2 linked regions of the Caenorhabditis elegans genome follow. The protein of the gene in region 1 interacts with the protein of each later gene in a pairwise test. Each region holds a gene or a part of one and is shown in the gene's direction. Other genes may lie near its edges.

Evidence for each region.
Region 2: the proteins of mab-10 (region 1) and fbxb-61 interact in a two-hybrid assay, tested with the Caenorhabditis elegans proteins (one large-scale study listed by BioGRID).

What each region holds. Positions count from the first base shown.
Region 1 is NC_003280.10:10,526,386-10,530,142, forward strand, and holds the start of mab-10 (NAB transcription cofactor mab-10), read left to right. Parts: upstream 1-1,698; 5' UTR 1,699-1,862; intron 1,863-2,987; exon of another isoform or gene 2,988-3,413; intron 3,414-3,757. UniProt on the Caenorhabditis elegans protein: Transcriptional cofactor. Heterochronic protein, involved in timing of a subset of differentiation events during the larval-to-adult transition.
Region 2 is NC_003283.11:19,302,486-19,305,845, forward strand, and holds fbxb-61 (F-box domain-containing protein), read left to right. Parts: upstream 1-1,638; 5' UTR 1,639-1,640; coding exon 1,641-1,726; intron 1,727-1,769; coding exon 1,770-1,892; intron 1,893-1,938; coding exon 1,939-2,587; 3' UTR 2,588-2,805; downstream 2,806-3,360. Other genes in the region: fbxb-63 (F-box domain-containing protein), read right to left, coding at 302-917, 990-1,109, 1,158-1,243.

The sequences.
Region 1 (3,757 bases):
GCCAAATAATCACCATAACCATATTATTGATTTTCAGAAGTTTCATAAAAAACTAGAGCACTTTCAAGTGTATATGGGTAATGAAGCACCCCACTAACTGTAAGGCAACGTTGAGGGTTCTCCGTACAATTGAATAGTAGAATTTGATACGTCAGAAGAAGGTAGGTACATAACATGGAAGTTATGCTGTCTGAAAACTAACATTTTGTCTGAAAATGTTTTGATTTTATTTTAAAAAACGTGTTGATACATACCTCAATTCCACCAAATCCTCTTGCATTCTGCCATGCAAACATATCAACATCCCACAAGTTTATGAACTTCTAAATACGAGTTTCCAGAACCAATCTCACGATGAGCCCTCAAAGTTTCTGAAGATAAAACTGTGAAGAAACTCTTAGTTACCAACTTTCCAGAATTTTCAAAATATTTTTTTGTAAAAACTATAACAATCAAATTGTTTACTACTCCAAATACAATAGATTCTGTATATTTTGCAGTGAGATGAAATTAGAAAAATCCTAAAGCATCAGTTCCATTTCGTTTTTTGATCAAACAACACATTATCAAAATCATCAGTCGGAATTTTTTCAGATGGATTAATCCAGAAGTTTCAAGAACCACGCCATCTGCTTACAATTTTGTTCTACGAATCAGTAAAAACCATTTTTCAAAATTTTCATTTTTATGAAAGAAGGTGTTTTCCAGGATTCAATCTTGGCATTACTGTAACGAATTATACTTTTGTTTGAAAACATGTTCAAATTATACTAATGATTTTTAGAATACAAGTATTTCAGCAACCTTTTCGCCGAAAAAACGCTTTTAACAAAATATATTTGGCAACTTTTGATAAAATCCTCTTTTGAAGTTACGAACATTATTGAATTCCACCACACATTTGTTTTGGTGAATTCTGAAAAAAAAATCGAATAAGATGAGTTTCAAAATAATTTTGCGGCCTTACTGTACTCAACAGTACTCATATCAATAACATATACAACATCACATATACAGTCTACAGTACTCATGTAGTACTTCTCCAGTGATTCAGCGGTTTAAAAAAAGTCTCACTATCCCAAACACCAACTTGAATCCCCCTTCTTCAACTGCTCTTCATGCCTTCCACTGCTTCTGATCATATCAATTGCTCTTCCAGAGACCTTTGGGCTCCTTGGGTCGGCACCGGACTGGTACCGCTGCCAGTAACACACAAAAAATGGACGCGGCCGAGGGCAGCAGAAAAAGTGCAGAAAGAGCAAGTAAAGCGAAGAGAGTGTAGACGCACTTTTTGTGCAGCAACACTGCCGTCGCCCCCAGGCAGTGCCAGCCATTTTTTCCCTCATGCGTCCCCCCGTGGTCTGTGGGGGTCACTTGCGCCCCCCCGGGCAATTCTGCCCTGGGTGTCCGCGACCGGTACCACCGCCGCTGAGAAGACGCCGCGCCACTGCTGATATCACTGAATGAGAAATAGTATGGAGAAGATGAGAGATTGCAGAGAGAATATAGAGTGTGGCTGCACTATTCTGGCTCTGTCTGTTCCTCTGTTCCTCTCGATTTCTCAATGCCTTTGCTTTTTTTTCAACGCACGCGTGTTCCCCCCTCCAGTTGACCTATGTTCTCTTAATTTTTTTCCTTTTTTTCTAGCGTTGCATATTATCAGTTATCACCTCCACCTCTATCCAACCACTTTTTTATTATAGACCCCGGCCTCACTGTTCCACAGCCTCCTGACCCGGTCGTGCCCGGACCTTGTGCGGCGCCAGACGCGAATGATATTCGGAGACACGGGCTGAATGGTTTCGTCGGTAGAGAACCACGTCATCCCGTTTTCGTCGTCTGCGGAGTTAGAACTGTATCAGGTAAGGTTTTTAGTTTTTTCTTTTTTTAACTATCAAATTGACTGAAATGAGAAAAGAACGGAAGGCAGGCAGGTCTCAGGCATGCACCAGGATCTGAAAACGCGCCTGCCTTCCACCAAAGCCTTAGTTTTGATTTGTTTGACTAGGAGGTCTAGAGTTCAGAAACTAACTATAAGGCCTCCGTGTCAGGAGTGTGGCAAATTTGACAATGGACTTTTTTAGTATTTGCCGAGCACGGCAAATTTGGCAAAATCAGCTAATCCACATTTTTAAAATTTGTCGGCTCGGCAAATTCGGCAAACGACAAACTCGGCGAATTTGACGCACACCCCTGATGTAGTACTTGCCGAATCGACCGAGCTCGGACAGTTTCCAGAATTGCCGGAGATCACTAGTTTCGTCCGTTGGGAGATACTGTAACTTCTAGATTATTAGTTATGAATGTCACTCTTCACTTTATGTCTATTTTCTCCATTTCTCCCATTTTTTTCTCGAACCTCCCACCTATTCCCCGTTGTGTCCCATCCGCCTGTTCGTCGTCGACCTTCTCTCCCTTCATCGCTTCCCAATTTTTTTTCTGTTCACCTCATACTGCGCGCATCTCCTCCCATGTCTACACTATTTTCATCAATTCATGGACATGTGCAGACAATTTCATGGGGGCTTTTTTTGCTAGAAGAATGAGCGTGCGCGCGCCAGCCTCGAAAAGGACGTTTTCGGAGCGGTTTTTCAGTTGGAAAAAGCGATGGAACGAGGTGAAGAAGAGGTCAAACAGATGGTGGTACTGTTGGATGAGAACAGCTGAATTGGAAGAAGGAGGAGGAGCTTGAGTTTTGATTAGTATGCTCTTATAGCTTCTAGACATCTATTTGTCCAAACAGGAAGAAAACTATCCGCCTAAATATTTTATCATATCGGTAAGAAACACCAAAACTTGAAAGTATTTCTGTTAGTCAGAAGTTAATAGATATAGGAGATAAGCTACCAAAATCTCTCTGAAGTCTGACCCCGATTACTGTAAATTTTGAACTTTCGTATCCCCAGACATCCACTTGTCAACAAAGGTCACTTTTTTGTCCCGTTCCTCCCAAGCCCATCCTGTGTATACACACACACAGTCACCTCAATCGTTCGCATAGTAAACCGAACATTTCAAATAATAATCGAACGACGCCTCTTTGGTTTTTTCATCGGTTCTTTTTCTCTCTAAATCTCCCCCGATTCCCGTACTATTCCCTCCCTCCTATTTCTCCATTCTCACCTCCCGGTCCGTCCCGCGTCCGAACGACCGAAGAAGCCCAGTGGCGAGAGACGTTTTTTGTAGGATTGTCTCTGTGTCTCTATGTTTTAAACGCTTTTTCTCGCCCAATGGTTTGCCGGTTTTTCTATGTTTCTTGTGTCGTCGTTTGCGTCCGGGCGCGCCGCCGAGTTTTTTTGACCTATAGTTAGATGTATGGGTGCACTCTTAGTTTAAGACACTATTTCGTCAGGGATGTAGATAGGCGGACGCTGGGGTTTTTTGAACAGGGATCGGGGGCCATACCACTCTCTTTTCTGTGTCGATATGTTCCCATTTTCTTCTCTTCTTCACTCTATTCTAACCTTTTTTGCAAACCTTTTTTATGACTTCGATAGGGAACCTACAGTGTTGTAAAGCAGTTAATACAGTAGTTCAGCATTTTTCAATTAATTTTCATTCTGGGAAAAATATAAATCAGCTTACAATATTTAATTTCTAGTAGTTTACACGTACCTTCTAATAATTGTTTGATATTTTCTCTTTAAGCATACAATCAGTGTGTTTTCTGTAGTTGATTATAAAAATAATATATACCAACTTGGCTCGGAGGTTTTGGAGGCAGCGTCCTGTAAAACTTTGACAGTTTACAACTTCC
Region 2 (3,360 bases), on another chromosome or scaffold:
GCGGCGCGCGGAACCCGTGAAATGTCGGCGGCCTGATATTGGTTGGGGTCAAAATTTTCGCCTTTTCTCCGTGAGGGGACAAGAAAAAGGCGGGGCCTAAATATTAGGTTTTCTGCAGTACACGTCACGCAGTTTTTTATTTTGAGTGTACGGACTACGAACTTTAAAAAATTATTTTTACTAAATCGCCACTCAGGAAATCGATAATTCCTCTCTTCTGTGCATTTGGTGTTTGAAACACATTAAAAATAGCAACAAATTTATTCATCGAAGAAATATTACAAGAATATCTTTAAAAAAATCACTTTAAAACGTCGAAGGTTACATATCCATATTTCAGAACACAAGTCGCCCGTGTTCCATCAAATCGGTAGATGACTCTTTTGACTTTCATAAATCCCCAATTCCATTGTATTACACTTTTGACATTCTCTTCCTTATACTTTACGTCTTTGAAAATCTCATCCGCACTCGCCTCAGATCCCACATGGCAGCGTAGGCTTTTAAGAGACTTGTACTCTCCTCTCATCCAGCGTTTTAAAAATAAGTTCAAATCCCTTGAACTCATTTTTTGGTTTACATGTAGGTGCTCACAGGAAAAATCAGTGGAGGGAATTAAAAGATTCAATTGAATTCGGTGTGCGCTTAATATCGGATGATACCAAGTGGATTTCGAAAGAAATAGTTGAAGAAAACAGCTGGAAAACTGGTTAACAATTCTCTGGAGCCAGATGTTCTGAGAATGGACTTCCAGAGATGTCCTAGAGCAGTTCACGCCGTCAAGAGCTTTATGTATGGATTTCCAGTCGTGATTGTCGTTGCTAATAAGCAAATGACTGACTTCATTTGTGTGAAACACACATTGAATATGATCTATAAGAGTTCTTAAATCGACTTCCAATGGGTTCCATTTGATTCTGAAAACATATCATTAGCTAGGTTGAGTATTTTTGGAAGTTAATATAAGTTAATTTAAAAAAAAAACTCACAAGTCACACTCCACATTTACACTAACAATTTCGTCGATGTCAATCGAATAAATGTCTTGTTCGAGGTTCAACGATTCTGCAGCCCGTTTTGTAGATTTGGATACCAGAGAGAACTTGATTCTATAATTGAAAATGTTTACCGTATTAAATTGTAGTTATACGCCTTACATTTCCTCTGGAGTCAGACAGCAAATTGCATGTTTCAGAGACTTTGCAGGGAGATGGAGAATTGGGAAGGAGGTGGTAGTAGTCATTATGGTGGACAAAAGGTAATAATGAATGTGCCTAGATAAAAATGCACACAAAAGAGTAATTATCGATTTTCTATATACATGGCAAGTGGGAAGTGACCGAATTGTTGGAGTCTAGGAGGTGACGTCATATAATCGATAATGAATTCTTTTGTGGAAAGGAAAAAAAAATACGAAGGTGGCAACAGGATAGGAGATTGATTGAATATATATGGCCAAGCGTTCGAATATCGATACTCATTCTCTTGTTCTCATTTATGTATAGAGATAGTCGAAAGGACCCTTGGTCTTTGGGGAGTGTTTTGAAGTGCTCACAGTCAGTCAAAATCGACAGCTGTGAGATCGCCACGTAGAAAATCAAGTCTTCCACCATTCATTATTATTTCTCTCTCTCTCTTACATGACTACCTTCGCCTCTTTCCCGATCCTCCAACTACCTGAGAAATCTCTCAGAATAGCGATTCAAAGTCTGACTTTAGAACAAATGTAAGAGCTCTTTTATATTTCAATTAAAAACTGTTCTTTTCAGAATAAAGTTCTCCCTCATTTCAAAATCTACAAAACGGACAGCAGAATCATTGAATCTTCAGACTGACCCCTTTTGGCTTTACATTAATGAAAGTGTTTATATATTAGTTCAAGCCAAGTTAAAGTAAGTTAAACCACATTGTAACATGTTTACTGACTATTTCTTGCAGTATAAGTCCTTATTATCATTTTATTCCTTGGAATCCCCTGGAAGTTGATCTGAGAACATTTCTGGATCATTCTCAGTGTGTACTCCATACGGATAAAGTTGAGTATTTTATGGTCAGCAGTGATGATTACGATTGGAAGTCAATTTATGAAGCTCTTAACGACTTGGAAATTCCTAGAACTACCCTAGAATGTGTCTCTACAAATGTTTGGCTCCACAAGCTTTTCAATAAGGTTTCCAGTGGCTCCCTTGAAATCACTCTTCCGGATTTCAAAGGGTACCGCTCAATGTTGAGCTCACACTGCCAGAATTTGACTGTTGCCTCCGGGCTCACTGATCTTCTGAGTGTCAACTGTGCACACTTAGAAGTGATGCTGCGCATGAGTTCAAATGAAATAAACATATTCCTAAAGCATTGGATAAACGGAGGATTTTATGGACTCGAATCTGCTCTTTTCAAAGTACCAAGAAACCGTGTGGATAAAGTTTTTAAGGGTGTGAACCACAAAGATACATGTGCAGAGGACTTAGACAATCTTCCACGGAGATCGTATAAAATTCAATGCGCAAAAGATATCTACAGATGTGATGGAAGACGGGCAACTGTTGTCATTGATATTGATAATTTGACAATGCACGTTTGGAAATAATTTGTTTTTTTTTCACTTTAATTATGATCATTTTTTGAATTTGCTGACCAACTTTAATTATGATATACATACTTAAATATGTAATTATTAAAGACCATAATCAAACAATTCCATTCCTGCTGTTTGTGCTACACAATTTTCTGAAAACATCCGCTTCTAAAACTTTTTCAAAACTGTACTTGTATGATATTTTTACGATGAATAAATGTTTTATGCAATTACAATTCATATATATTGGGGTAAAAACTTATTTTATGTGGCTAGCTGATTCATAAACTGATTTCGTGTTTTTTAAAGATTCGGAGATTAGGGAGAAATTGATTCTAAAATATGGCAGTTTGTCATTTGATATTAAAATTAGATATAAAAAGCCAACTATGTGAGCCAATTCTGTGAGCTTACTACCCTCAATCTTTTTTATTTATTTTATTCTTCCCATTTTTTCATCAGTTAGCACTTAGACTCGAACCCGAGATAATTTACTCTTTACTCAACTTAAGCCTCTTAACCGTTACACTAAAGCGACACTAGAATACTAGCATTCATTTGATTCTTTTATTCGGCACTCTTCAAGACGCAAATGATTTTTCGCAAGATGGAAATGATAGATAACAGAGGTTCGACGAAGAGATATCTCTAAAAAGAAGCTTAGCCGTCACAACCATTCGCCCTCTGATGTTATTATAGTTTCTGTAGTTTTTTCCGTTTTTATTAACTGAAAAACAAGAACATGTTCAAATAAAATTTGTTTATTGAAGCAAAGAATATAAATG